Linked DNA regions of Pelodiscus sinensis. The protein of the gene in region 2 interacts with the protein of the main gene of each other region in a pairwise test. Links are inferred from orthologs where the notes say so. Each region holds a gene or a part of one and is shown on either strand. Other genes may lie near its edges.

Region 1 (7,647 bases), on a different chromosome or scaffold from region 2:
GTGCTGACAATCATGGTTAGCTGTAGCAAGGCCAGTCTTAAATGTAACAGCTAGGAAACTTTAAAAAAATCATTTTACCTTCCCATATTACATGTCAGCTTATTAACCTAATTAATAATTTAGATAACCTAATTCAGAATGTGCAATCTGAGCAAGTTTATGTTGCAAAGACAGACAAGTTTTAAATGTCCTTACTTGTGCTGATACATGTAACCTCATATTCAAAGAAATGTATTACTTGGGGGAAAGGGGGTCTGTGGGGAACACTTTGGAAAGCATTAGAATTTTACATTTTCAAATGTAACTGAAATTTGATCTAAAGTCTGTGCCTGGAGTGTATCACATCTACAAAATTTCCATCTGGATGATGGCTACACTGAAATAGAGGAGTGATTCCAAGAAATAAAAAAACTCAGCTACAAAATATCCCCACTAAAATGTCAAGCTACTAATTTCATATCACTATCGCTCCCTCCTCTTATATTTCCCTGATCTTTGTGTCTTCTCTCCTCAATTATCCAAGACCTCAACATTACAAAAAGCATGTGTCAGAATTTGTTCTCAAGATCAGGCTTCCTTTTGTCCAGTTCAAACTTGTCTGCCTTCCCTGACAATCACCTGTTCTGTGCCATATATGTGATGGCAAAGAACAGGTGATTGTCAGGGAAGGCAGACATTTTTGAAGTGCCAGCAGAAGCAGCATGAAACTGACCAGATCACTGTCTATCACTTTACTGCTAACAATGAGAAGCAATGTGCAATAACAGATTGGATTAGAGACACATTATTAATGTCTCTCACCATATCAGTCCTGCACCATGAGCTCAGGATCTGCACCCTCCATTTCTCCCAAAGGGCCAGCAGAAAGAAATGGAAAAATACAGGAGGATCAGTTGAGCTTCATTTTACTCTTATCCCACGATGTTATTAAAAACGTGCTAGGTGGAGAAACAGCAGCAATACAAATGCTGTTTTTCACCCTGTAGGATTCTTTTTAATGCAGCCAAAACTCTGCTATGGTACCTTGCTTGTACCACAGGATCCCTGATTCTAGCTACTATAGAACATCTATTTCATCAAACTTTACTGTGGGTTATTAGGATGTGTATGTGCAGAAAATATTACTACTCTTTTTACAATATTAAATTTTATCAGAATATTTTAAGTTTTGCATTATTGCATCAACATAAAAATAAAAGCTAGTCTATAGCTTAGAGTGAGTTTCTACATTATCAATCTTAATAGTGGTTTTCAGTAAGAGATGGGAGAAGAGAAACAATGGACTTAGAAGCCACAAGTTATAAAAAAAATTAATGATCCACTTACATTGTGAGTTTTCATATCAGCTATTAGAATTAAGCAGTGAGATAATGTGTATAAGATAACAACTTTATGAAGCAAGAGGCTATGCCTATTCATTTACATATTCCACTTTGCAAGCATATCCAAGTTTCATATGAAGGAGATGCAGAGGCATCCCCAACCTACGTAACCCAGTTTTATTACTACATTAGGGCTATGTCCAGACTGGCATGATTTTCCCCAAATGCTTTTAACGGAAGAGGTTTTCCGTTAAAAGCATTTGCGGAAAAGAGCATCTAGATTGACAAGGACGCTTTTCCGCGATCGGGGCTTTTTTGCAGAAAACAAATCTCAGCTGTCTACACTGGCCCTTTTGCGCAAAAGCTTTGCGCAAAAGGACTTTTGCCCAAACAGGAGCAGTATAGTATTTCTGCAAGAAGCACTGATTTCAGACAGTAAGAAGTCAGTGTTCTTGCGGAAATTCAAGCGGCCAGTGTAGTCAGCTGGCAAGTTTTTCCGCAAAAGCAACCTAGGAGAAAATGTTTGGTTACATTATGCCATTACCCCAGTAAAACTGCAGAGTTTTGTGGGCCAAACAAATATATTGTTTGGCTTTTTTAAATGAATTACTCGATGAATTACTCAATAGAATATTTTCAGATAATACAGAACATTCCCCAGATAGAAAGGAAAAGGAAAATATAGTAAGTCATCCAGCCACCCAAGCAAGTACAGGATTTGCCATCAGCATATTCTTCTGTTCTACAGTCTCCTAGTCCATTTAGATTCATGCACCACATTACATCCTGAGCATTTACCTATGCGTTTAGTATACCTTAGCTACGTTTAAATAGGGCTTTCATTATTTCATGTTATAACACATCTCCATATTAGAAAGTTGTTTGACTAACCTCTTACCAGCTAGTAATTCCATAATTGTCCATAATTGAACACTATACAGTTTCTCACACTGGTAAAGTACCCAGCATCCTCCAACACTACCAGAAGATATGCTCTGAACTATACTGATCATTGGTCTGATTTTGAATAGCAATTTCTACTTTCCTATAGGGTCAATTTGCATGTCCCTTTCCTAGCCATACCACACTGCACTGTCTTAAATGCTTTGGGGGCGACATTGCCCAGGCCACTGGCAGCACAATGAATCATTCCAGTCCTATTTTACCAGACAACTTGCTCGTCAGGCGCACTCGGGGATTTGCTGCACAGTTTTAAAGCTCATTCATTTGGGATAAGGGTACTTAGTGCACGTGCAGCCTTACGGGCTCGCCGGCTCAGGGGCCGAGGTGTGTGCACGAAGGGGGGCGCCCGCAGCCTGGGAAGGAACTGCCACTGCTACAGCCATGTGCCCCGCACAGGCCCCAATATCAGCACCGGAGGCGGGGCCTGCAACTCCCTACCCCGGGGAGGAAGGAAGGGGCCCTACGGCCGGCGCAAGGATGAGTCGCCGCGACGCCGACCCGCCCCTCCGGGGTGGAAAACGCTGACTCAGCCTCCGGCTTCAGCCGGGCCCCTAGAGCCGGCGCGGGGCTGGGAAAAGGCCTCCGAGTCCGACCTCCCGGCCAGGGCCGCAGCTGCCGGGCGCGCACCGCACATCCCCGCGGGGGCCGCAGCTGCTCCGGCCCGCGGCGGTAGCACCCTGCAGCGCTCCCCGGCCCCACTAACCCCCTGCCCCCCTGCCCCAGCCACCCACCTTCTCCCCTCCACCCCCCGGTGGCCGGGGCTGCGCCCGGCCGGCCCCGCTACCTGAGGCTGTGTACCAGCTGCCGGCGTGGCTGGCCTCCCGGCAGAGCACTCGGTTGGACATCTTGGTGCCTGAGCCGCCTATGGTGTTCGGGGGGGAGGGGGCAGGAGACGGGCCCGGCCGCGGCGGCAGCGCTAATCCCCCCTCCTCCCCCGGCAGAGCCCGAGCCCCCGCGAGGGGGGGCGGGCAGTGCTGCCGGAGGCGCCGCGGACCCGGGCGGTGAACGGGGAAGCGCTGCGAGGGGTAGGCGCGGGCTCGGCCGCGGACACGAACCCGGGAGGGGGGAAGCCTGGGACAAAGCCCGAGGCAAGAGCCGGCTACTCCGCGCTCTCGGGCGAGGGGAGGCCGCGGCAGCCGGGTTTGGCCCTGCTCGTCTCCCGTGGAAAGGGGAGGGCCCAGAAGCGGGCCAAGTGGCTCGCCATTGGGTGACGAAAGCAAAAGCCCGGCCACGATTGGATGCCCTTTCTCTCCCCGTTTCCCCCCGCCCTACAGAACCGACCAGGCCTGCAATTGGACCGCGCCGCTGGAGGGGAGCGGAACGAGGGGAGGGAGGTAAAAGACCACAGGCAGGACCCGTATGGATTGGACAGCAGCAGGGTTGCCGTGGTGATGGCTTCTGGCCTCGCTGATTGGCGGGCTGGTGTCTCTGTGGTGGCAGCAGGGCAGATTAGCGGGCAGGGGCGCGTGGGGAAGCTGGGCGCACCCTGGGGGAGCGAGACCACGGGAGAAGTGGGTGGGGGAGGGAGAGCGGAGCTGCCGGGCTAAGCCCCGCCCCAACCAGAGCTACTTGGCCGGCCTGTGGGGCCCTGCTCGCCCTGTGTTGCCCAGGCAGGCCGGAAAGCGAGGCCCTGTGCGGCCCCGGCAACGCTCCCCCCTGCCCGCCTGCACGGGGGCAGCAGCCCGCCCCGCTTCAGCCCCAAGGGCCTAGCAGTGGCACTAGCAGAGGTCCTCTTCGGTCACCGTTGTACCCCAGAGGCCTTGCCTGGGGGGGGGAGGTGCTGACCCACAAAAGCCTTCCCTTTTGGGGGTGCGGGGTGCTCTTTTTACCCCAGAAGCCTTCCCTTTTTGGGATGGGGAGGGGGTGCTGACCCACAGAAAAATCAGTTGGGGCTGCACAAAAACACCTCCCAACTGAGAAGGAGAAAGGCAAGCCCCACATTCCCCTTGCACAGCAGAGCCTGGGTAGGCAGCCTCATAGATTTTGTAGGTTCCCCCCCCCCCAGGCTTTGGGGTGGGGCTCCCTGATGTTGCAGGGAGAAACCCCATGACTTGAGGGGAGCTGGATCCAGGCAAGCCAGGGGCCAGATTTGGCCCCTGGGCAGTAGGTTCCCCATCCCCGGTTAGCCCCAAAGCACTACGTGCTCTCTAACCAACCCTCAGATTTGGCATCATGGGCCCAAGGGACCTACCCCAGATTAACCAGCAGTGTACACGGAGTAGGGTAAAAAGAGATACATTGGGTTTTTGGTTTGTAATCACACACACTGTTCCTATCTGCCCCCTCCCCTCAAACAGTTAAGCAATGTCTGGGATTGTGGTAGAAGAAAGACAGTAAAAGCCCCATACCCTTGAAAATACACTTCTACCCTTTGGCTTCCACTTTATACATACCCCTGTTTTCACTTGGACATGTGTCTCTAAACTCTGAATATGACCCTTATGGTCTGAATATGACCAGCATTTAGGAGACAAAAGATCCTATATTAAACCCCCTTTAGTCTTATAAGTATCACCGAAAATGGAGGAAAAGGGTAATAAATAACTTTTGTTGTTGTTATGTAAATCAGCGGATTTCCCTGATGTTCTCATTGAGTAAGAAGCAGGGATGTAAAATCCCATTTAATTGCTTAACCGATTAAAGGGGGAGCAGGTAGAGGGCCCTGCCTGTGGCCCCCTCACCATGGATAGGAGCTGCCCTGGACAGCCAGAGCAGCCTCTGCCGGCAATGCACTCAGGCCACTGTGGTTCTGGGGCTGCTCTGGGTTGCCGGAGTACCCCTGCCTGCAGTGCACCCAGGCCCACTGCAGATTGGCTGCTGTTGTTGGACTGGAGTTCCCCTTGTCCATGGCAGGCCCCACAGGGCTGGAGCAGTCCCCTGCCTGTGGGGAGTTGCTCCAGCCCCTACCGGTTAACCAGTAAGCATCACTTGTTAAGGGTGATGCATTAACCTTTCACATTCCTATTAAAAAGGTACCATTTTAATATAGTCACTTTTCAAATCAGAGCCACACTTTGAGAAGCAGGGCAGTGTGGGACATGTTGGGCCATTTTCTGATATCAGCCACACAAATATAAATTACAGTTACTTCATGATCATCAGTGGATTTACTCCAGATTTACACTCAAGTAATTTATCAAAATCTGGCACCAAACAATTCTTTAATCCCATTCACACTAGTGGTCTAACCTCAATTCTAGCAAATTTCAGCTACAACTAAGTTTAACCTACACTTAAGCACAGTTCTTAAGTCTTATGTAAATAGGGTCTTATGTGTCATACTAAGGAGGGAAACTAATTTATTTTGAAAGTAAAGGACTGCTTTTCTGTGTGGTGTTCTTCAGTCTCCCCAGGTAACATTCCTTCCAACAATGTTGCACTCAAATAAGACCTAACAGAAGAACCAAAGAAGTAAACACTTCTTCAGAAAAAACACAGTAACCTAGACCCATCTTGTGCTGAGAAAATAGAAGCACAGGATCATCCTGCCACCCATCTACCTGCCCAACGTCCCTACCCTGTCTGACCACAGATGTTGCCAAACCAGAGAGTTCCACACCAGAGCGGTTCAACCTGTACATAAGCAAAGACAATACATACCTTAAAAGAGAACACATGAACCACAGTATGTCTATATGCAAAAACTGACCATGTTAAAATATTTAATCCAGTTGTATTAACAGTCTCTGCCTGAAATTGTAAGGGAAAAAATGTGACATAGGTTTAGCTTTGAAAGTCAAAGACAGTGTAGTGAAAAAGCAGCGAGTATGTTCAAAGTATTGATACTCTTCCAACTACTGGCATACAATATTGAGATTTGATATATATCAGAAGCAGTAGCAGAAACTCCATATTTAAAATTGAAGCTAAGTTTCCACATTAAACCCAATTTTATATTGCCCGTAACTTTTCTCCAAAGAAACCAGTGTTTTGTAATTTGAGTAAAAAGTACTTCCCTGTACTTTAAACAAAGTACAGCAGAGATATTATCTATACCATTTGCCTTCATTGTAGGTGTACTGCATTACATTTCTAAGAATTTCATTTACTGTCTCTGGATGATATTTTTTCAGCAAATAGTAAATTTAGCAAAACATTTTTTTTCAATACAAAGTTATGTATAACTGCAGGTAGAATTTGGCAAATAATTTTAGGCAAACAAAAAATAAACAAATATTAAGATTAACTATTCTGTCAACATAGAAAATGTTTAACTTGGTAAACAGTTTATTTTTTCCATGAGAAAGCAAAATTTCACTTGGGGTCAAAGCAATTTGTTTGTTTTTGTTTTGGTAGCTGAACAACAACAAAACCTTCACAATTATTAACTCAGCTCTAGTCTGGCCTATTCTTAAAGTGGTCAGTCTTGACCCTGATAAAGTTGATGTTAACTGCAATGAAAGTAGATAAGTATGATAGCTTTCAGGAATTGCTTTTAGTAGGAAATCCTTTCTTACCACTGCCACTTTAGAAACCAAAGAAGATATTGGCTTTCTGGGAAGCAATTGTTGCTAGGCCCAGACTCATCTGACGTATTACAGATCTCAAGGCACAATGCACAGTTTCCAATTCTTTCAATGCAATTGGAAACGCATACTGCAGGTGAGTTATTTCAAGTTGTGGGGTTAACCAAGCAGTCTGATAACAAGATGGACTGGTCGACGCGAGTCAGTAGAGAAATGGCTTTGGACTATGGAGAAGTACCACTTTTTAAACATTTTTGTCCAATCTTCTGGTTTAATAATTTTTCTAACTTTTAGCTGCTTTGATTATTTTTTTCAATTTTAATTGGTGTAGGCTTCCTGGAGTGTCCTCTGTTTTTCATACTTGTTTATAAAATCCATTAATTAAAGTTTACTATACACATTTCACTTTAGAGCCTTGACATAACCAGCGTTTCCTAAGAAAAAATGCTTACAAGATGTTTTGGCTCAGTTATAGGTTGGTACAGTAAAACATAGCTAAACTTCTCACAGATACCAATTGGAAGAGTTTAAAGAGAAGTCCTTTAAGAAACTGGAGTATGCCATTACTTTCTATCCGACTACCTGATCTCTACTTTGGACACTGCATACATCTGCTATGAATCTTAAAATAGTAACCAGCTACTGTTTCTAACCCAGGCTGTATAAGGAAGTGCTATATGACTATCAAGTGACACAAAATTAACATATAAAAGCTTAAAGGAATGCAGTCTTGAAATACATATCTTGGATATCAATTCTAAAAACCTTTAAAAATTACTTATAAATTGTTTAATTGCTTGTAGACTCAAGTTCCTAATTTTTCTCTTGCATAAAACCTCCCTAAAGAGACTTTAATAACAGTAATTCTTCAACAATATTCCCTTGCAAAGGATACC
Region 2 (7,570 bases):
CATCACACTTTTTACTATATTTTCCTCAGGCGACGCCAGGTATTTCTGCTAGTATTTTATAAATTTAAATAATGGTTGGGGTCTTTTACTCCTATTTAGTGCAATATCTCATACAAAAAATGATGAATTGTGCAAATATCACAAATAACTGTAAAAGGGGTACAGCATATCAGTGAGTAGCCAATTGTACCAGCTAATCTTGCATTTCATTTTCTAGGCATTTCTATTTTAGAATAAGGAAAGTAATGGAACAAAGAATAATACTGAAGTCTACATGATAGCATGCTGCATCCACTCTACCTCATAAAATAACTACTGCCTCTGCAGACAGCAGTTTTCCAGAAATGTAAAGGTATGGTATAGAGAAAATTAAGCCATAAATTATATAGCAACATATACACCACATAGTTCATTTCAGCTTGGTAGAGCCTGATCCAAATCCCACTGAAATCAATGAAAAGATTCCTTTCATTCCATGGGCTTTTTGTTAAAGCCGTTAGACCTGTACATCAAGACAAACTTTACTTCCCATAAAAATTCACATCACAGAAAATCTTGCATTATGCAAACTGCACTGAGATAAGCTCTCTAAAGTCATGTGTACACTGGCACAAAAGACAGCTAACTTGGGTTCCCATGGTTTAGGTTATGGGGCTAAAAATTGTTGTGTAGGTGTGCAGCTCAGTGCAGAATCCACCCTTCTACTTCACCAGGTGCAGAGCTCAGAGTCCACTCTGGGCCTGAATGTCTACCCAGCAAGTTTACAGCCCCAGCCCTGTGAGCCCGAGTCAGCTGTTCCAGGCTAGCCCTGGGTGTTTAACTGCTGGGTATACATACCACATAGGGCCAGTTGTGAGGGTCCTTCATAGAACTTCACAGTACAATGTGTTTTTAGTCTGGCATCACTAGACTAGTTGTTAAACGAGAGTCCGTAGTGCCATCTCCTAGCAGACTGGTACACCATGCTCAGTGGTCATGAGAGAATCCATAGTAAACTCCCTTTCCAACGTGGCACAATCCACCAGAAAACTATGCCCAGGTTTTTAAATCTGATTTAAAATGTTAATTCCCTAAAAGAAGGGATGGGTGAGGAGAATAGAAACAAAGACAATGGCTTTAAACCTAAAGCCGTTACTAAACTGGATGATGAGGGACCATTTCCAGACTTGTCTTTGCCCTTCCAAACTCAGTGGGCCAGATTCAGACCTGGTATGTATGGAAACAACTCAATAGAATCAAGAGATTTTTCCCCCCACATTTATGCCCAGAGCTGAAGGCAAATTTTGGCACTCAGGAAAATTCATCCCCGGGTTTGGACTTGTAGATAGCATCCAACATTGCAGAAGAGCAGTGAAGGGGACTGAAGAAATTATTATTCAAGTGACTTTGCATCTTCTCCATTTTGCACAGCTTAGCTCCATGCCCTTTCACCCTAGCCCAGCATAGAGTATTATAGGGACTGTTTTTGCCAGTCCAAAGTTACAGATATCTATTGGCTACAGTTGGAAGGATGGGCTGTAATAGTGCCCATCAGCAAGCTGCACAGATGAACACACACTGGTGTCAATCTGACCCTAGCCTCCATAGAATTTCCTAGAGAAAGTTCCGATGTGTGTGAGGAAAGGCAACTTCACCATTAAGGTTAGGAGAAACTTAAGTTGAGGCTGCGTGGGAAAAAAACTAATGCTCTCATCAGAGCTCAACACAAATAGCACCTATCCTATAACAATATTATCTAACATTTTGCTTATTACAATTTTCAGTAATTTGACTGGACTAATTTGTAGTATACTGAGTCTACACCATGTGCCAGTAAATATACCAGAAGCTGAAGTAACTTAACAGAAGGAAATGAATAACTGAATGTACACTATGCTGTCCTGATGTAAATACTTTCAGCAGTTTGGAAGTATAGAATGACTTCAATTAGAAAGGCTACACATTAAAATCAGATGTTGTGTGTTCAGTCAATTGATGCAAACTGTATAATGTGTTAAAATTAAAGACAGTAAAACTGTAATGAATCATTTTTGTTCTTTTGATTTTGCATCCGACAAGTGAACTTCTAAATCATTAGGTGGAATTTCATTAGTTCAAAGAAGCATCTAGTGTACTCAGCCTGGGTAAATAAGAGGCAGATTTAAAATAGGACCTCACATAAAGACACATCACCAGCCCTATGGCCCTGATTCTACAAAGCACTTAAGCATGTGCTTAATCATTGTGGAAGTCAAAGTATATGTTTAAGTCCCTTTGTTGAATAAGGATGGACTTAAGCACTTGCTCACAGTTAAGTATGTGTAGTTTAAATACCATTTTAAAACTCAATTGTATATAACGATGACATTTCATTAGTAAATATTTAGTTTAGGTTTTGTAGTGATTCACTGCCATTCAGTTTTTAGTGTATTTTGAAGGATAAACAAAGCATCTTACAGTATGAATCAAAGGACAGATGCAAAGATCCATTAGTCACAAACATTTTCATTAGTGACAACTGAATTTTTGTTTCGACATGAGGTAGAATAGCTGTAGAATCAGTGTTTTTTAATGAAAACATCTTCTTTTAATCTTTCTTAGGGAAAAGCAGGCATGCTGGAAGAGTGTTTATAGTGGGGGTTCTGAAAGCCACTCAATCAAACTGTAAACTCTGTGTATAATGGAAACCATTTCAAATCACAGGGTGCTGCAGCATCTCCCACACTCCTCGTTCCAACAATTATGAGTTGAAGGCCCTGTATTTGTAATGATTCATGTAATCACTACATTAGTTTTCTGCCAATGAAAATATTCTTTCAGACAAAAGAGATGTTTTTATTTTTATTGTAAACATTCATACGTAGTCATTTCACTGCAATGCTGTATACCTGTACAGCTTTTTATCTCTTTGATATTCATGGTATTTTCTCTTTTTTAATTTTTATCCATAAAATATACTCTTTTTTTGGTGGTTTAGTTGGCTTGCTTGCTATGGAAGAGTCAAACTTGAAATCAAGATTATGAAGTTTGCTCTTAATTTTTAAAAGAGTAGTCATTCTAGTTCTGATTCTTCATCTGCTGACTCCTAAAGGATTATTCTTTTAAATTGAATGTGGGTTTTGCATTATTTTCTTTTTGCATGGTTCTAAACTGAGCTATTTAAACCATTCTACTAGCAGCCTATAATTGGTCGCTAGCACTTGACCGAGTATCCTACTATCCAAGTGGATAATGGTTTTTTTGTTTGTTTCAAGTATGAATTGAAAAGAAAGAGAGATGTGTTTTGCTTACGTACCACTATCATATTATGGGAAAGGTACTGTGATGGTCTTTCAGAAATGAATATATACGTGTATTTTAATTGTGGTTTTGCTTTACAAAAATGGTATTCTAAATAATAGTCAGCACTTACATTGTACTTTTCATCTATTGCTACTGAAAAAACATTAGAAGAATTAAAAGCCAGTGAAATAGGTAAATATACCCATTTAATGGAGGATAAACTTTGATAGTTAGGATAAAGGAGACCTGCAAAGTGGTGGAGGGGGAGGGACAGAGGAGAGAGTGGAATAGATGTAGTCTTTTTTTGCTGCTGTATGTTTATATAATATGGCTTGAAAGGTCTCTCTCTCTTTTTCTCTTTCAAAAAGGCTTCTTTTTCATATTAGAAATAATCTAGACCTGAAACTCTCTGATGACTGGACATTAGTGAAATGGTGACATCTCAAGAGCCAAAAAAGTGCAAGTTGAACAATTGTGGGGGAGGGGGAAATGATTTCTAATAAAACTGTCTTTAAATGTCTTTTTTTTAGCTGTTTCTGCTAACACCTCTATAATTGCATTGACTAACATTATGGATATAAAGGAAGCTTTTGCTCAAATTCAACATCTTTGTCTTTTCAATTAAGGCCTAAGATCTTACAACATTCTCTGATTCTTCCCAGAGGCCCTTCAGCAAAAACAAGGAAAACCCATACCTGATATTTTGATTAGTTTTTTTTAAAGGGCCTCTTTTATGCACTATTAAGAAGCAGAAAAAGGGGTAAGTGATCTTATACATGATTTGTCTGGGAATCCAGCAAGCCAGCAGCAGAGCAAGGATTAGAACCTAGGATTCTAGGTCTGTGTCCAAAGCTCTCAAACTAAACTGAATGAAAGTTACATTTCAAAAGTTCAAAAGCAGAGCTAGGGTTGCTCAGTTTTTTCTGGCTTCATCTGCCTTCTTCAGGGGGAAACAAAAACAAAGTTTTGTCTTGAACCAGTCCACAGGTTTTCATTCAGTTGTTTTAAACCTGTACTAAAAGTTGATCAGATGGAAAAGCTATACTATAGTGAAAAGCACAAAAATCAAATGGAATGTATGTTGAAAACTAAAATCTACAAATGACTTTTGCTATCTGATAAGTCTGAACATGCAGGTGTGAGCAGCCTAGGGCCTGGTTTGCCAAAGCTTTAAATTGCTTATGAGTGTGCACTGAAGCTTGTCTTTTCTACTTTTTGTGATGTCAGGCATTTCCTTATGTGGTGCGACCAATAAGAGTTTTCTTCTTACAGAAATCAGACTGAAAGGTAAAACACCATTGTTGGGCAGAAAATCTGCCAAAGTTCATTAAATTACACCTGCAGGAATCTAGCAGCAGCAGCACAACTCTGTATAAATGAAAGTAAGACAGAAAGGTGAGTTTAAAACATTTTGTTCTGACTTTTAATCTTCAGTTGGCCACATATTTGTCTAAAAAACAAATGTGAAAGGAACTGATCATGTGAACAAAATACTGTACTCTTTTAGAGGAAAGGACAGTTTAAGGATCAATTAGTATCTCCGTCTTTATAATTATGAAATTACTTGCTACCATGGCCTCAGCAGTGACTTTTTATTACTTCATACGTTTAGTTCAATCTCTTCATAAATTAAAATGCTGATCAATTTCATAATCCATAGGAAAAGGCTTGTAACTTAATTGCAGTGTAACAGTGTTTCTTCCTAACTGATTTTAAAATACTCTTCTGGTTGGAAAGGATAGTATCAGCCTTAATCCACAAAATCTCTGTTTGCTAGTTGTGTTTTGTTTTGTATTTGTACATTTCTAAGTAAACTTTCATCTGTGGTAAAGTATGTTAACATCAAAATGATATCCCTTCAGATCAGAATGTTGAACTACCTTTGAAAAGATAAATTATTTAATTCAATTTGTGTTGGTTTGCTTTTGGCACATACAGTCTTCCACTGACTAACTTAATCTCACAGTCAAGTTTTAACTTAAAGCAACTAAAGTTTTTAATGATATAGCTGCAGACTGTGACCTGAATCCTTTACATAGTTACACTTGTGAATAATTTATGCATATATTAGCAGTCCCATTAACTTTTATAGGTCTTTTGACCTCTGCAAAAGTTCACAGGACTGGACCCTGTATTGGCACATACCTGCTAATGCCTCAATTTCAGCAAAGTATTTAAGCATGTATCTACATCCATCCCATTCCTGCAAAGTACTTCCAGAGATTTAGTCAAAGGGAGTTATCAGGTGCCTGGAGTGTTTTGCTGGGTTGGGAGGATGGACTGCTGAATTGAGGTCTTAGATGCATAGCTATCTCAGAAATATCATAAATAGAGTATTCAGAACACAGCTGCAGTAATTCATGCTTTCCATTTATTGGCAAACATATTGGTAACAAATTGTTCTCCCAGCAATAAAAAGAGCAAGACTGACCTTAAAAGTTCTCACTGGGGAGCTACATCAGTTGATTGTTATTTATTTAATTTTATTTTATTTTATTTTATTTTATTTTATTTTACACAGAACTGCGCTGTGGAATCCTATGTAAAGATTGAGGATCCGGTTTTTCCCTTGAATCTATTTGTATTTGCTCAGTCAAATTCCTACAGTACAACACCAATAGCTTGGCAGTTGTCCCAGTGAAATAAAACCTGTGCTTTATATTATCATCTATTGTTAAAACAAAAAAATCACTGATCTATAAAATGGAAGGCTAGGATTCACCACTGGGTTATATAAGGCATTTGAAAGGATGCTTTCTTTGAGAAGTTCTACACTAAATGCTCTAATCTGCTTTTTTCCTGAGATAATATTGGAAAATTCTTCTCAAGGAAGTAATCTGTTAATAATTTATTATCATATACTCTTTCACCCCAAAACTCTGATTGTATATTTTCCAAAAATATAAATTGAAACAAGCTGTCTGTTAGCCTTCTCTTGCCACCTGAAAATATTCCTGCCTCCACTGTCAATTCCTTTCACTCACTTGGGACTCATCTTGTTCTGGGTTCCACAAACATTAGTGCTATTTAGAGGTTTGTTCTTTGCTTGTGCGTTTGGGCGTTAACTGCTGCAGTGCTTTATCGTAGCACTGCATTAGAAAAAGAGAAGGCCCTTGACTCAATATCGTGCTTATTTATCAGAGCTGAAAATTTAAATTTCCTGTGTGAGCATTCTGAAGAGTATCCAGTATCTCTCCTAGGATAACATTTTTGTACAAAATGCCAATAAAGTACGCTCACAGGATGAGATGGTAGATAAGCTTCATTGCATTGTAGAACATTGAATTACTTTGTTGAATGTAAGACTATCCAATAGCTCAACGTTTTTTTCAAGCAGGAAGACAAAGGGACAAATTCCAAAATGCAATATTTCAATATTACAGGCCCTCTACGGGAAGTGAGGGTGAGGGGTAAATAGGTCAGTTGCTCTGGGGCCTGGGGCTCAGTGACAGCAACCAGAGCCCCATGTCCTTTAAATCACTGCTGGAGCACCGTGCATGCACTCCAAGCAGCTCTAAGGGCTGGGAATGGCCAGCATGGTGTGCTCTGGGTGGCAGTCAGAGTCTTTAGTCAGTACAGGCAGTCCCCGAGTTACGCGGATCCGACTTACGTCGGATCCGCAGTTACGAACAGGGCACTTCCTCTCCCTGGTCTCGAGCAGACCAGGGAGAGGAAGCAAAGCGGCGGCGGAACGCGCGGCCAGCTGTTAGCTGGCCGCGCGCACCGCTCTGCTTCCCCCCCTCCCCCCCCCCCGTCTGCAGACCAGGGGGAGGGGGAGCAGAGCGGAGCACAGCAGAGCGGCGGAACGCGCAGCCAGCTGACAGCCCAGACGCGTCTGGGCTGTCAGCTGGCCGCGCGTTCCGCCGCTCTGCTGTGCTCCGCTCTGCTCCCCCTCCCCCTGATCTGCAGGGGGGGGGGGAGCAGAGCGGAGCACGCGGCCAGCTGACAGCCCAGATGCATCTGGGCTGTCAGCTGGCCGCGCGTTCTGCCGCTCTGCTCTGCTCCGCTCTGCTCCCCCTCCCCCTGGTCTGCAAACCATGGGGGGGGGGGGGAAGCAGAGCGGAGCACGCGGCCAGCTGACAGCCCAGACGCGTCTGGGCTGTCGTTCCGCCGCTCTGCTCTACTCTGCTCCCCCTCCCCCTGGTCTGCAGACCTGGGGGACGGGGAGCAGAGCAGAGCAAAGCCGCGGAGCCCGAGGGCAGCAGGATAGCCACGGCGCGTCTGGGCTGTCCTGCTGCCCCTGTGCTCCGCGGCTTTGCTCTGGACGCCTGTGGTACAGCAGCTGGGGCGCTGCCGGTTGGTCCCGTAG
Region 3 (7,920 bases), on a different chromosome or scaffold from region 2:
CAGCTAAACAATATCTAACATCCTTAGTCACCATGACAGGGAGTGGTCTCAGAATGCCAGCTGTCTACCTGTACTGATGAAAGTAAAATGTCAGAAGGATTTGCATTATGAAATAATTTTACCATCTAATACTCTGGGCTCGCTGAACCGCGGCGAGCCCCGCTCGCCAGCCGCGCTGTCTGGTGACCTGCGCATGCACAGATCGCCCAAACCTGGCTCTTCTGGGTTACAATCTACTTGCCACGGGCGAGTAGATTGTATTATTTGTCGAGCCCTGCTAATACTTTATTCTCAAGAATCAGGTTTTAGATCTCTGTTTTGTCTTAGGTGAACATTTCTCTCCTAAATTAGTGGTTCTCAAAACTATATGATCACCCCCCGTTCTTTGTGTCTAATATTTTATGCCCTCACCATGTTATACAAGTATATGTACACACTAGGGATGTTAGCAAGTTGTGAACTGGAGTATCTACTATGCACTTTCCCCTCCCTTTGCTGCCTCTATGAGAGGCACCAAGGGGGCAGGAAACAGAAGCCTGTGCTGGCGGGAGCCGGCTTCAAAATCCCCTCCCCGCCCCGCTGTTAGTATCAGAGGCAGCAGGGGTGGGATGGGGGAGGATGCTGCAAAGCAGCCTCTGCCCATGGTGGGCTGAGGCTTGCCATGGGCAGAAGCTGCTCTGGCTGCAGCCCCTGACTGTGGGGATCCTAGCAGGTAGCTATCTCCCACCTCACCCCCCCCACAGGGGCTGCGGCCGGAGAAGCCTTTGTTCAGGGCTGGCTGCCGCAAACAGGGGCTGATGGACTCAGTACAAGCCGGGACCGAGCAGTCCCAGCTCCTGCTGGTCTGGGATGCTGAGGCTCTTCATTTTAAACAGTTTTAAAAACATTTTAAACACATTTTAAAGGCTCTGCAGAGCGGTCCTTATTGACTAATTGTATAGTCAATACAAATTGTATCGACTACACGATTAGTCAGATAATCGTAATTTAACATCCCTAACAAACAGGCCTTAAGTTTGAATTGCAAAGAGTAATATGTAACTTCATTTCCATCAAACTTTCATTTCTATTAATTCAATATGTAAGGGAGACTGGAGTAAGGAGGACGGTAACCTGTTATACTCATCCTATTCATGTAGTCAAAGCCTTATGAGTCAGCAGTGACTAAACAGTCATTTTCATTGGGAAACTAGTAAACGCTCTCAATCAGACACAATTAAAGAGATCATGTTTTTCAAGTAGCACAACTATTAAACAAAACTACTAAATTGAGAGTTCAGTGTTTCAGGCAAAAGACTGTGGCTCTATTAAATAAAAGTTAATGTATTATCTCACCCAAAGCTGTATTTACTGATCTGCTAGCTATGTTTTTAACATTTCAGTTTAATGTAAAAATACGTCTAAGCTTTTCTTTGCTTAAAAGGTACTGAGTAAGAATGTTCCTTCCTTTGTTAAACCTAATGTAGATTTTCATTTTTTAGGACAGAAACTTGCCCTACCTCTGGAGAAACAGGATTGCATAGCACTATGTTAATAGTAACATTGTACGTGAATTACTCTTGTGTGTATTATGTGTATCCCTCAAACACTGTGGCTATTCGATTGATATACCAATTCTATTTCAGAAATTTAAAGACTATTTGAAACTTCTGAGAAAGATGAACATTGAAGCTGTTACAACTTCATTTTTATTTCATGAGATTTCTATAGAACCTTCAGATGGTTACCAAGGTTGGCATATTACCTGGTAATAGCAACGTTTGATACAACAAATTCTGAATTTAATTCTAAATCATTGTTAAATAAACTTTAAACCTAACACGGGCTAAGAGGTATAAGCTAATACTGTAAACATTCTTCAAGCGATTTTTGCTTGAGAAACACAACACCACTTGATCCTTCAGGCACAAAATGTAACTTAATTTAAAAAACTTAGATATTCACTCATTTCTAAATAATAAATGCAATGTTTTATTTTGGCTTTCTATTACTACCCTATGCATGGCTTACTATCCAATGCACTAGCACACAGGAACCAGAAACTGAAACTAATCCATTTGTACTGTGCCAAATGACAGACGGGCAAAAAGGAACACAGGTAACTAGTGAAAAGGAATTCTGACATTTCGAAGTGTTTTATTAGAGGGTATTACATTTTATCAATCAAGTTTTATTTTAAAAAAATAAGATAAAAATGCCCCTTACACATAGCTGTGGCCCAACCTAAACACGATACATTTTAATTAATCCTTATGAGCCGAACAGACTGCACAACAGCGGAATAGTAGCTGCTTCCTCCCTGCAGCATTGCAGAAGTCGACTGATGTTAGTCTAAAGGCAATAAAGTCACTTCGTTTCAGACACACTTAAAGAACCCCGTTATCCTTCCGCAGGGTTTGGAGGCGCTGGAGAGACACAGCACAAGGCACTCCCGGGGCGTCAGGCTCCTTCCTGCGGCCGCCTCCTCTTTTAGTGAAGCCACGCGCCTCTCAAGGGCCTGCAGACTCAGCGATCAGATTCCCATCCCTGAAGCCCCCTCTCACCTCAGCAGGCCGCGCACCACAGGGGCGGGCTCCCCCCCCCCCGTGTCCCTTGGAGGGGCTGCAAAGCCGCAGGCGTCACAATGCTCCACCCCGCGGCGTGTCCCCTTAGCTGCAGAGGCATCACAAGACCCTGCTCCCAGCCCCATTTGCCCCCAGCAGCCCCGCCGTCGCACGCGCCCCTCGCCCCGCCTTCCTCGCGCCAGCCCGGCCCGCCAGCGGGCTCTGCCCCCCCCAGTCACAGGCCCTCCCCCCCCAGCCTACCGGACCCCGCGACGTCTGCCCTCCAGCCGGGCCCCCCCCGCGTCTCCTCCCCCCCCGGGAGGCCCCGGCGACCCCCCGCCGGCCGGGGCCCCGCCTCCGCGTGAGCCCCGGCCGCCCGCGCTCACCGGCCGCCGCCGAAGCTGCTGTAGGCCCGGTCGTCATAAGCATCAAAATCCGCCATCGCCGCCTCAGCCTCCTCCCCGTGCGAGCGTGACAGGGCCGCGCCCGCAGGACCCCGCGCCGCTTATATAGGGGGCCCGGCCCGGGGCTGCCCGCGCCGCTGCCTGCGCCAAACTCCCCGCCCTGCCGCGGCTGCCCGCCGGGCTGCCTGTCTAAAAAGTCCCTCACCCGCCCAGCGCTGTTCCCGCGTCTCGGGCAGCACCGTAGGGGCCAACGCAGCCTCCCCCCCCCCCCACCTGGGGTAGCCCCAAAGGAGCCTGTGTAGTCCCCCCCCAGCCTGTGTCAGCAGCATAGGGGCCAATGCAGCCTCCCCCCCACCTGGGGTAGCCCCCCCAGCCTGTGTAGTCCCCCCCCAGCCTGTGTCAGCAGCATAGGGGCCAATGCAGCCTCCTCCCCACCTGGGGTAGCCCCAAAGGAGCCTGTGTAGCCCCCCCAGCCTGTGTCAGCACCGTAGGGGCCAACGCAGCCTCCTCCCCCCCACCTGGGGTAGCCCCACAGGAGCCTGTGTAGCCCCCCCCCCAGCCTGTGTCAGCAGCATAGGGGCCAATGCAGCCTCCTCCCCATCTGGGGTAGCCCCAAAGGAGCCTGTGTAGCCCCCCCAGCCTGTGTCAGCACCATAGGGGCCAACGCAGCCTCCTCCCCATCTGGGGTAGCCCCAAAGGAGCCTGTGTAGCCCCCCCCCCGCCTGTGTCAGCAGCATAGGGGCCAATGCAGCCTCCTCCCCATCTGGGGTAGCCCCAAAGGAGCCTGTGTAGCCCCCCCAGCCTGTGTCAGCACCATAGGGGCCAACGCAGCCTCCTCCCCATCTGGGGTAGCCCCAAAGGAGCCTGTGTAGCCCCCCCCCCGCCTGTGTCAGCAGCATAGGGGCCAATGCAGCCTCCTCCCCATCTGGGGTAGCCCCAAAGGAGCCTGTGTAGCCCCCCCAGCCTGTGTCAGCACCATAGGGGCCAATGCAGCCTCCTCCCCCCCACCTGGGGTAGCCCCAAAGGGGTCAATGTAGCCCCCCCAGCCTGTCAGCACCACAGGGGCCAATGCAGGCAGCCTCCTTCCCTTCCCCCAAACTGTGCCAGACACACAAGGCCCAACGCAGCCTCCTGCCCCCTCCAGCCTGTGTCTGTCTCATAGGGATTAGTGTGTTGCCTCCCCCAATACGCAGGCTGTGTGCACCATCCATGGAGCTCAATGCAGCTAGCTGCTGCTACCCAGCATGCCTGCTTATGGGCCACAGAGCCAGGGTGCTGGGCCCCCTGACTCCAGCTTGTATGCAGACCCATGGGAAGTGTTTACTGTCCTCATCCGCAGGGCTCAGGCTATCATCACAAAATGTATTTATAGCAAGTGCATTGGTGTACTCAATCGGTACTTTTAAAGAAATGCAATCAGGCAGCACAAGGCTCTGGCATTTTGGTTTTGGAAAGAAATTCTGCAATTCATAGAAATGGCGGTGTTTTTTTAGATATAAAAGCAACACAAACACTGCAGCACCCTACTAAATACACAAACTAGAAAATGACCTTTAAAAAGACCCTAACTACTCTCTATTTTTGCCACGCAACCTGAGTGTGATGTAAAAATCAACAGCATAAATTGTGACAAGCATTCGATGTTACAAACGTTTTCACATCTAAAATAATAATAAGATAATCTAAGATAATAACCCAAAGTTAGGACATTTGATTTAAAATAACAAGATTTGAATCCCTCTTAAAATATGAATCTGTTAGAATGCCTTTAAATTCTAGAATGCCTTGCCTAGGTATCACTAACAGCATAACACAAAGTACAGTCTCTTGTCTCTGTGCAGACAGGCGATGAGAAGAAATTTTAAAAGGAAAAATGACACTATACATTTATTGGACAGCTCTTCCTGGTAAATAGCATCTTGGGTGGGAACCTATCCTCATTCTTTGTGGTAATGTTGAGAGGGAAGATAATGGATTCTAGCTGAGAAACTTCCAATATCTTTAAAGATATATCCTCTGCATTATTTATTTATTTATTTTTAAACTGGGCTGCTCTTTGGGGTTTTATTATAGAAGTAGACGACATATTGATTCTTCCACAGTCTGATTGATTGTTGGTATGGTTAATGTCTGACCCAGACAAAATCAGGCTGTCATATTTCAAAAGCATTTGAGAGGCTAGCTTTCTCAATATCCATATCTACACAGCAGCTAGTTTTAGAGAATCTTACTTTCAAATTTAGGTCAGGAGACATGGACTATATTCATAATTGTAATTAATAGAGTCTAAGTCAGGTGCCAATAGGAAGATCCTACAGTGCGTGTGTACTTTTTTCAGATTTTGACACTGGTTGTTCTGCAGAGTTTCATGAAATGGAGAATGTGTAGTTCTAGAAAATTTAAACAATACATTAAATATGTTGATCCTACATCACTGGTTCTTGATTTCCAGTTATCTCCTATGAGTTGCTGGTCCATATGCTTGTGTGAGGCCTCTCATGAATAGCTCATGAATTTAAACAGGACGGATCATTCACCCTAAAAATTATGGGGAAATATGTACATATGGTGATATGGGTGGGCGATTGTGAACAGTGAAGGATGCAAAGGCCCATGAGGAAGAGGGACAAGATAATCACTTGACAGGTTACCCTAAAATGCAGAACCTCCCCAAGTGCGGAGCCAGGGATATCTGCCTATTAATGAGATCTAGATTTTGCATGCGTGAGACAACTTAAATGAAGAGATGTGTGTGCAGGGAAGGTGTTAAAATTAATAATCCATGACATTTTAAGCATTTTCTACTGAAGTGCCCACAGCAAAACCCTACATTTCCCAAGAGAAACTTTAAATGGCTCCTTAAAACATGTCTGTCAATATCTGACACCTAGCCTATCAGTGGATACTTACTGAGCTCAGTTCAAGGCAGTGTTTCACAATTTGGTTTGGCCACGTAACCCTTTTAAACTAGAAGGAATTTTGCAGAACCCCTAATATATAGAACTAAAAAAGCAGACCACAAATAAGTAAGGATAATGATAAACAAATGCTAAACAAGATCATGAGATCAACATTTAGTTCAATTGCACATATTTAAAAACAAAAATCACATATTAATTTTTTTTAAATAATAAAATGTCACTGTAATGGAATTTTCTCACAGAACCCTTATTTTCACTTCGCGGAACCCTGGGGGTCCATGGAACACCATTTGGGAAACACTGGTTTAAGGACATGAGAGTGTTGATTTTTGGATGGGCCCAGGGGAAAAAAACAATAATTTTGCTAAAAAGCAAGAGACTCCATTATTTTCCCACAGCCCTGGCCTGGAGTTGCCAACCCTCCTCCCGGATTGACCTGGCATCTCCAGGAATTAAAGATGAATCTCCCATTAAAGACTGTCATATGATGAGATCTCCAGGAATACAACTAACCCAAACTGGCAACCCTATAGCTGTGTCTACACTGGCCACTTGTTCCAGAAAATCAGCCGCTTTTCCGGAATAACTTGCCAGCTGACTACACTGGCCCCTTGAATTTCCAGAAAAGCACCGACAATCTACTGTAAGAAATCAGCCGCTTTTCCGGAAATACTATGCTGCTCCCGTTCGGGCAAAAGTCCTTTTCCCGGAAAACTGTTCCGTAAAAGGGCCAGTGTAGACAGCACAGTAGTGTTTTCTGCAAAAAAAAGCCCCGATCGCGAAAATGACGATGGGGGGCTTTTTTGCGGAAAAGCGTGTCTAGATTGGCCACGGACGCTTTTCTGGAAAAAGTGCTTTTTTTTCCTGCCAATGTAGATGCGCTTTTTCCGGAAATACTTACAACGGAAAACTTTTTTAAGCATTTCCGGAAAAGGGTGCCAGTGTAGACGTAGCCTATGGGGTCTGGCCAGGTGCGGTGACCGGTGCTCTCTGCTCTGGGGGGGAACATGCAGGAGCTGGGACCAGCTGGCACACGGGAGTGACTTCCCAAAGAGAGGCGAGAGGAGTGAGATGTGAGCTAGGTCCGGGGGGAGCCGCTCTGCTGTGGCGCTGGAGACCTCGCATCCAGCGGGGCAGTTTCCACCGGGACAGCCAACCCCGCCCAGGCCGGGGCAGGCTCCCGCGGAGCCCCGGGAAAGGCCGGGCACGGCCGGGCAGCCCAGGGGCAGCACACGCGGCTGCTGCGAGCCTCCCCCGGAAGAGGCGGACCCGGGGACCCACGTGCGGCTCTGGCTGCGGCGTGGCTGGGGAGCGCTCGGCGGCAGCGCGGTATGGAGGCGGCGCCGGCCCCGGGCCCCGCTGGCCCGCGGGGGACCCTGCAGCAGAACCGGCAGTTCCTGGACTTCTTCTGGGACATCGCCAAGCCCCAGCAGGAGGTGCGCCTGGCGGCCACCGAGAGCCTGCTGCGGTACCTGCGGGCCAGCGAGCAGGTCAGAGCCGGAGGGACTGGGGGGCGCAGAGGGGTGGGGTCCGGAGGACTTGGGGGGCGCAGAGGGGTGGGGTCTCGGTGGGAATGTGAGGGGGTATCCAGAGGACTTGGGGAGTGCAGAGGGGTGGGGTCCGGAGGACTTGGGGGGCGCAGAGGGGTGGGGTCTCGGTGGGAATATGAGGGGGTGTCCAGAGGACTTGGGGAGTGCAGAGGGGTGGGGTCTCGGTGGGAATGTGAGGGGGTATCCAGAGGACTTGGGAGTGCAGAGGGGTGGGGTCCAGAGGACTTGGGGGGCGCAGAGGGGTGGGGTCCGGAGGACTTGCGGGGTACAGAGGGGTGGGGTCTCGGTGGGAAGCTGGGACGTGTCCAGAGAACTGTGGATTGCAGGGGGTGTAAGCTCTTGGTAGGAATGTGTGGGGGTGTCTAGAGGATTTGGAAAGTGCAGAGGGGTGGGGTCTTGGTGGGAATTTAGGGAGTGCAGAGGGCTGGAGTCTCGGTGGGAACGTGAGGGGGTGTCCAGAGGACTGGGGGGGTACAGAGGGGTGAGCTTTTAGTAGGAATGT
Region 4 (8,214 bases), on a different chromosome or scaffold from region 2:
GGGCAGCTCAGGCTCCATGGCTAAAAAAGCCAAGTTAACACACAAACAAAAGAACAAAAGAAACAAACAAACAAATAGACGAAAATACAAACAAAGAAACAAAAAACCAAAAAAGCCAAAACCCAAAGAAACACACAAACAAACACAGAAGCAAACACAGAAGCAAACAAATAAACAAACCAGAAAATAAACTGCTGTGGTGTCCGAGAAAGCAGGGCAACCAGAGCCAAAAAAACTGCAGCAGCTTTGCTTTCCCTCGAGGAGGTAGGCAAGCCAGAAGCAGGAGCAGAGCACCGGCTGTCCAGGAGGATCACTTTAAGCATGCGTCTCTGCAGAGAGCATGCTGCAGTGCCTGGGCTTTAAGGCTACCTCTGTGACCTTCCAGAAGCACTTCTGGGTGTCTTCTTCAGTCGACAGACCGTCCCGCGGTCAGGATACTCTTTGTCGACAGAAGTAGTCTGGATGCTCTTTGTCGACAGAAGTTTTGTCGACAAAACTTCTGTCGATGGAAGCCTGTAGTCTAGACGTACCCTAAAAGAATAAAAGAGCTGTTGTGGCAATCCATTTTCAGTAGTCTAACTTCACTTTCCACCATTGCTTAGAAAGAGATGGAGGGGAGTGCTGATGCAAAGGCTAGCCATTTCAAGATGGTCACATACAGATTTTCTTTTACAATGAAATAAAAAATGTGATCAAGCAGCAACTTTGAAAATTTCAAAATCTCATCTATCTCAAATTCAAATTTATTAATATTGAACTTCACTTGAGGTATTAAACAAAGTAAGATTTATAAGCATTCGTCTGTGCTGAATTCATATATCAGAAAAATATGCTGAGTCAGAATCATATTGATCCAGTTCAAAATCAATGCAGTCCAAAGTTAAAATAGGTCTCTCATAAGCAATATTCCATGGCTAATTACTTCTTAGATAGCTTATCTTTTTCTAGTGTCAACAGAACAAATGTTTTTGGAAAATCATTTACAAAGGCTAGTGAACAAGATTGTTAAAAAATGTAAGAGCAGATCAAAAGGCAGGAAGACAGAGGGAAAAATTCTGCTCTGATACACACCTGACACTATCTCATTAAAATTAAAGAAATGTAGAGGGTAGAGTGTAAGCCAATGGAGAATGAAACCCATTGTATTTAAGGACATTAGTATGGTCAGAAGAAAGCAAACAGATAGGATTATTGTTTTCTGCTTTTAGCTTCTGTTTTCTTTTCCTTTATTATTTAATAAAAGACTCATTGCAAAATCTTAATTTTGTTTAGAAATACATTATGCACGAGGTATACTTTGCACAATTACATCAATGCATCCATATGACACTGAATTTTAGTATATTTTTTCTCATTTTGTTGATGATAAGTTTTTTTCTCCATCCAAGTTGTATTCTGACAATTCTTTTAGCCATTCCAAATATACTAGAGGGGTGTGTCTAGACTGGCAAGATTTTGCGCAAAAGCTTGCCAGCAATCTACACTGGCCGCTTGAATGTAGTAGACAGGCACCTTAATTTTTTGCGCAAGAAAGCCCAATGGCTAAAATGGCCATCGGAGCTTTCTTGCGCAAAAGCATGTCTAGACGCTCTTTTGCGGAAATACTTTTAACAGAAAAACTTTTCCGTTAAAAGTATTTCCGCAAAATCATGCCAGTCTAGACGCAGCCGAGATGTTTTAGATGTTTATTTTGGGAGAATTTCTCATTTTGCTACTACAGGTTGCAACTACCTAAACCAGGATTCTCTGGCCTAGTTTACACTGGAGCAGAAGGTCGACCTAAGATACACAACTCAAGCTACGTTAATTGGAGTCAACATATCTTAAATAACTGTCCACAGAGTGGGAGGTCAATGGGAGCAAATACTCTTATCAGCTTCCCTTAATCCTTGCAGGAAGCAGGAGTATCAGTGCTGACAGGAGTGCCCTCTGAGTTCGATTTAGTATGTCTTCACTAGACCTACTAATTCAAATCCCAGAATATTGGCCATGGCAGTGTCGATATTCCGTGTAGTGTAGACATGCCCTCTGGTCCACAGATGTTCTTGGACCAGAGAATCCTGGAGCTGGAAGCCCTGCCAGCCAGGAGCTTGGTGGCAGGGAGGCTAGTGGCTGGGAGCTCTGCCAAGTTATTCCTGAAGTTGCAAAGTGACAATGAGGAGGCATTCAGAGAGGTGCTGAGCACAGTGGAACACAACCTTTGGGCTCAGGAAACAAGCATCGAGTGTTGGGATCACATTGTCATGCAAGCCTGGAATGATAGCTGCAGAATTTTCGGACGAGGAAAACCACTTTCATAGGATTGTGTGCTGAGCTTTCCTCCAACACAAGGACACGTGAATGAGAGTTGCCGTGCTGCTGGAGAAGCACGCGGTGATCACACTGTGGAAGCTGGGTATTCCCGACATCTTTTGCTCAGTTGCCAATCAGTTTGAAGTGGGAAAGTTGATTGTTGGACGCATGTTAATGAAAGTGTGCAGGGCCATCAGTCTCATCCTACTCTGCAAGACTGTGACTCTAGGCAATGTACATGAAATTGTGGATGGCTCTGCTTGGATGGCTTCCTGAACTGTGATGGGGCAATAGATGGCACACATATTCCAATTCTGGCACCAGACCAGCAAGCCTCCAAGTACATTAACAGCAAGGGGCATTTCTCCATGGCTCTGCAGGCACCTGTGGATCGCTGTGGGCATTTCACAGACATTCGTGCAGGCTGGCCCAGAAAGATGCATAATGCATGCATCTTTTGGAATACTGGCCTATTCAGAAAGCAGCAAGTGGGGACTTTCTTCTCAGACAAGAAGATCACTGTGAGGGAAGTGGAAATGACCATTGTGATTCTTGGAAACCCTGCCTACCCCTTAGTGTCATAGCTCATAAAGCCATACTCAAGGAGCCTTGACAACAGTAAAGAGCAGTTCAATAGCAGGCTGACTGTGGAGTATGCTTTTGGGTGTTTGAAAGCCTGCTGCTGTTGATTGTACAGGAAGCTGGACCTGGACAATGACAACATCTCTATGACTATTGGCATGCGCTGTACCCTCCATAATATTTGCGAAAGGAGGGGTGAAAGCTTCACTCAGGCCTGGACTGCTGAAGCTCAGCGTCTGGAAGCTGAGTTTGAACAGCCTGAGACCAGGGCTATGAAAGGAGCACAGAGTCTCATGTATTTTTCTATGTCTAGGTTTCATATGCAGCCTTGCTGTGCAAGAGGGCCTGCAGTTCATCAGAGCTAAACCTCATGGGGATGGGTGTTGAGTGCATCAGGGAGGGGCCTGTGGGAGTCTGCATGGATGGAGATTGAGGGAGTAGATGTGGAGTGTGGTGGTGGTGGCCAAATTGTGTTGGCAGTGATGGAACGTGTATGGAAAACAGTTTTGGGACACCGGCTGCAGGGGGTGGGGGAGGCATTTGCACAGCTGCTCTGTCTGAAATGCTAAATTGCACCTAGAGTGTTTCCACTTACTACTCCATAATGTTTAGGTTAAGAGCTACTCTGTGCTTTCTTTCTGCTCCCTCCTCTCACTGTCCCTCCACTCCTTCAATTCTCTCAGCAGCAGTGAGACTCAGGATGTCATGCAAAAACTCCTCTCAAGTCTTTTGGGGCCATTTTCTTGCTTTGTGAAGCCTTTCCACAGGTGATATCAGTTCAGACTAGCATGCCAAAGTTCAGCTCTGTCAAGACAAATCTGCAACACTTACAGAGGGTCCATTATTGACATTCCATTGTTCACATTCCTAGCATTGACTCACTATCCTGGAGTGAGCATACATAAGATACAGAATCATACAATGGTGAGTTCATCTCTAGGGCAAGGGAATTCCTTGATGCATGGGGGCAGGAAATTTCTTGGTGCTGAGGAACAGGGGTTTTCATTGGTGCAGGACCCTACTGTACTCTGGGCAGGTGTGACTTGGAAACACCACTGTGTGGGGGCCTAATTGTTAGTAATAGTCACTCAATTTCCAAAGGCTGTATTAATCATGGAAGACATTTCGCTGCTTAGGGTGAGCAGGGAAGCAAACAAGAGTCTTCTGGGAGACTGCAGGTTCAATCCAGGACCATACATGGTGGCTACGTCTAGACTGGCATGATTTTCCGGAAATGCTTTTAACGGAAAAGTTTTGCGTCTAGATTGGCACGGACGCTTTTCCGGAAGAGCACTTTTTGCGGAAAAGCAGCCATGGCCAATCTAGGCGCACTTTTCCGCAAAAAAGCCTCCATCGTCATTTTCGCGATCGGGGCTTTTTTGCGCAAAACAAATCTCAGCTGTTTACACTGGCCCTTTTGCGCAAAAGGGACTTTTGCCAGAACGGGCGCACCCTAGTATTTTCGCAAAAAGCACTGATTTCTTACATGAGATCATCAGTGTTCTTGCGGAAATTCAAGAAGGGAAGTTTAGACAGCTGGCAAGTTTTTCTGCAAAAGCAGCTGCCTTACCATTGTAAACACCTTGAAAGTAAGCGTGACAAGGGCTGATTTTCCTGTGCAGTAACGTGCAAATGCAGACTGCGCCTCAGACAACTCAATTGATTTTGACAGGGCTAGCAAAAGGCGTATCCCTGACACCAAGACCATGTCCCAGCGAATCCGCACAGTCCAGCTGCACATTACGAAGGCGGTGGAGCTTCTCTATAGCGTGGCCGGGCAATGCTGCTACTGGGCAGGCTCCGCGGCCCCCACTAACAGAATAGTTCAGTCCATGCCCAGAGAGCCAGCAGCTCGGTGGAGGGGAGGCCCTGCTAAGGCTCTGGCCGAGGGCGCTGCTGCTGCTGCACGACGATCGCAATGCACCTCCGCGCAGGCGCACAACCACGCGGCATCCGCAGCACGGCCGCGCGCCACAGGCTGCGCCCCGCAACGAACTGACTGCGGGGCCGCTTCCCGCCCGGCCTCAGAGCGGGCAGAGGGCGCCGCCCGGAGCCCCCGCCCCCTCCGCAAGCCCCGCCCCCTCGCGGTATCTATTGGCGCTTCCGGCGGGGAGCTGCAGCAGTATCTCAGCGCGCATGCGCAGTGTTTGAACGCGATGGCGGCGGTCACGGAGGAGGCCATTCGGGAGAGAGTCAATCTGCGGCACCAGAACCTGGGTAAGCAACTCCCCTTCCGCGGGCGCTGCTGCTCGCGGTAGCAGGCGCCCGGAGACGTCAGCCCCGCCCACACGCCTCTCCGCCTCGCCCTGGCGGTTAAAACCGTTAATCCGGCGGATCGCGGCGGGGCAGAAAACAAATAGGCGGGGCTTGTGTCGTGGTCACGCCCCGAGCACCTCTGACCAATGGGAGGGCCCGATCTCTGTTGTGGCTGCCCTCGGGCTCCCGGGTTCTGTGGTCCAGGAGCATCCAAGGTTCTGCCGGATCAGGGATGTTGCTGGCCCAGAGAGTGCTGGAGTTTGGAGTTACTGCCTGTGGGTATACTCTGTACACAAGTGGCTATAGATGGGATCTGATTGCAAGAAACAATTTATAGGGGCACCCCTCTTTGGCCACTTGTGACTGTCACTAGAGTTGAGAATAGAAACAGAATGCTCTTTGTGGGCTTGTCCTCTGTCTTCCTGGCTCAGTTACCTTGCAGACTGCCTGGTGGGAAGCAATACAGATGGAAGTGTATTATCTGCTTTAGGTCCCCTTTGCACTTCTACCAAGCAGCATACCCCCAAGAAGTTTAACATTTTCCCTAATAGGCATAAGGAAGCCAGTCCCTACTGTTTTTAGTTCCACTTGTCAATGATAAATATTTCTAATTCACGGGCACACACAACGCTAAAAATCATAAAAATTGAACAGCTTCATCCTGCATTGTCTGTCACATCAATAATCAGGTAGATTTGAAATTTATTTTAATAATTTTAGTAATTTCATTTTTCTTATGATAAATATATTCAGGTTTTAAATTTTCTCATTGTAGCTGATGTCCGATCATTGTCTCTTCCTGGAACTTATCATGAAAAGATTACTCATTTAGGACATTCTCTGAAAAATTTCACTCGCCTAAAATCCTTAGATCTCTCTCGCAATGCATTGGTTAGCTTGGAGGTATGTTTATCTTAATTTTTTAAAATTATTTTTTAAGACAAATGTAACAAGAATAGGTTGGCTCTTGAAGTCGTGGAGAAAGGACAAGAGAATTGGAGGAGTTGTATTGAGGGTTTTATGGAGATTGGAACAACATTGGGGGAGGATTTTGTTCTTTGCAAACCTGGTACAGGTTGAACCTTTCTTTTCTGGGACTCTGGTCCAGCAACATCCATGGTCCAGAAGAACTGCGGATATTACTGGACCAAAGAGCTCCTGGACCAGAGAGGTCCCACTTGTAACTTTTTTTTTTAATAAGGTAAATGTTTCTGCATTACTTTGGAACATTGGTAACAGCATATAGAATGTTTTATTTCCACATGACAATTTTGATCTAGTTTGGGCTAAGAATGTTAAGTATCAGGTAATTGACTAATCGAATAGTTGATGCATTTTTGCATCAGCTATTTGATTAGTTGATAGGGTGCCTCCAGCACTGAAGTATAGCAACTGCCCCAGGTGAAAGTGCCTGTGGCGCTGCCACTTTGAAATGCTGCAGCGCCGCGTGGAGCCTGGGGTCAGCTGGGGAGTCCCCAGCTGACCTCAGGCTCCATGCGGTGCTGCCACTTTGAAGTACCCTACTCTTCTTCCCCCCCTTGTTGCCTCTGTTATAGAGGCAGCAAGGGGCGGGGGAAGCGACTAGTTGACTATCTGATAAACGTTTGCTTATTGGATAGTCAACTAGTCCTTCACATCCCTTGTTTGGGCTAGTGGTCAAAAATTATTTTCTGTTGGTTGTTCAAAAGCACTGTGTATAAAATCATAAAATCGTTTGTCTAATTCCAGATGGGTGGGAGTCCAGATTATAATTGGTACCCTTGATAAAAGTCTCAGCAAAAGATAGCACAGAGTCTGAACTAATGTATGAAAATATAACACATTGCCTTTCTCAAAGATACTTCAGCGGTTTGGTATAGTGAAACACTAATTACCAAACCTGTATTATACTCCTTTGTAGTTGAAGCAGGATAATAGATTAAGTACTGTCAATCCATCACCTTTTTCTGTTGTGGCTCTGATCTTAAAAAGACTTACGCTCATATTTAATTCAATACATGAGTTCATCCAATGCCCCTGGGACTCCCTGTGGTTAGAATTAAGCACGTGCTTAAAACTTTGCAGGATGAGAGTATAAGTGCAATTGCTTCTCTCAACCCTTTTTTGTGAAGAACAGCAACAATATGCTTAACTCTACAGAAGTCTGAGGTATGAGCATAGCTAGCACATCATAGCTAGTTTAATGAAACCACTTTCTGCTGCTAATATGTAAAATACACTAATGAAGAAAATTCATATCTGTAGCATATGATAGCTTGAAGAACTCAGATTTGTGTCAGTATTTGAGGTGCTCAATTAGTATTTTAAATTCAATAATTGCTCATCTTGCTCAGCAAAAGTTTTAATTTAAAAAGTGTTTTCAGTGTCATTAGAATGAGGTTTTTTTTTTTTTTTTTTTAGACCAACATCCCTTTTCATATAGACCACCAAACTACTACAGGCAGATAGAAAAAAGTGCTAAGTCACTACTTGTCTGGCTTTGATTTATACCAGTGACCTAGTGTATTTCATTCAACAAAAACTAAGTTTATATTACAAACTAATATGATTTTTGTTTTCTATACATTAACAGGGTATTCAGCATTTGATATTTTTAGAAAAGATCAATCTCTATTACAATCACATTTCATCACTATCAGAAATATTTCGACTTCATAGTTTAGCTGCACTCAAGGATGTGGACCTCCGCCTGAACCCGGTAGTAAAAAATGAGTCTGATTATCGTCTTTTTGTTGTGCACATGCTTCCTAACCTTAGACGATTAGGTAAGTAGGTGAACTCTACAATTCAGAGGTTCAAACCTGAACTTGTTCTTGAAAATACATATAACACCTATAACACTGTGGTTTTGGTGGTATTTCTTAAATGTATGGAACAAAATTTTGTATCCCTCCACCTGGAAAGCCGGGTGCCTTTGTTACCATAATAATGGCTAACTAAATGGTCAGTAGGACTTCGATACTTTTTAAAAAATGTATAATTCTTAATATGAAAGAATATTACTATATTAGATAGGAGGGCCAGTGTATAGAGAGCTAGCCTGGGACTCAGGAAACCCTGCTCTGCTATAGGCTTACTTGGTAA

What was found.
Region 1: the proteins of LNX1 (region 2) and MEMO1 interact in binary tests that used the Homo sapiens proteins (3 or more experiments, as listed by UniProt). The two-hybrid records come from large-scale screens. The link is inferred for Pelodiscus sinensis from reciprocal best matches to the Homo sapiens genes LNX1 and MEMO1.
Region 3: the proteins of LNX1 (region 2) and EIF4H interact in binary tests that used the Homo sapiens proteins (3 or more experiments, as listed by UniProt). The two-hybrid records come from large-scale screens. The link is inferred for Pelodiscus sinensis from reciprocal best matches to the Homo sapiens genes LNX1 and EIF4H.
Region 4: the proteins of LNX1 (region 2) and CEP72 interact in binary tests that used the Homo sapiens proteins (3 or more experiments, as listed by UniProt). The link is inferred for Pelodiscus sinensis from reciprocal best matches to the Homo sapiens genes LNX1 and CEP72.

The regions. Positions count from the first base shown.
Region 1 is NC_134713.1:134,287,392-134,295,038, forward strand, and holds the start of MEMO1 (protein MEMO1), read right to left. Parts: upstream 3,210-7,647; 5' UTR 3,131-3,209; coding exon of another isoform or gene 3,070-3,130; intron 1-3,069. UniProt on the Homo sapiens protein: May control cell migration by relaying extracellular chemotactic signals to the microtubule cytoskeleton. Mediator of ERBB2 signaling.
Region 2 is NC_134715.1:85,860,790-85,868,359, forward strand, and holds the start of LNX1 (E3 ubiquitin-protein ligase LNX), read left to right. Parts: upstream 1-4,500; 5' UTR 4,501-4,656; intron 4,657-7,570.
Region 3 is NC_134731.1:24,656,116-24,664,035, forward strand, and holds the start of EIF4H (eukaryotic translation initiation factor 4H), read right to left. Parts: upstream 3,086-7,920; 5' UTR 2,986-3,085; coding exon 2,930-2,985; intron 1-2,929. Other genes in the region: MYBBP1A (myb-binding protein 1A), read left to right, coding at 7,200-7,358. UniProt on the Homo sapiens protein: Stimulates the RNA helicase activity of EIF4A in the translation initiation complex. Binds weakly mRNA.
Region 4 is NC_134712.1:145,501,553-145,509,766, forward strand, and holds the start of CEP72 (centrosomal protein of 72 kDa), read left to right. Parts: upstream 1-4,781; 5' UTR 4,782-5,030; coding exon 5,031-5,091; intron 5,092-5,905; coding exon 5,906-6,033; intron 6,034-7,702; coding exon 7,703-7,895; intron 7,896-8,214. UniProt on the Homo sapiens protein: Involved in the recruitment of key centrosomal proteins to the centrosome.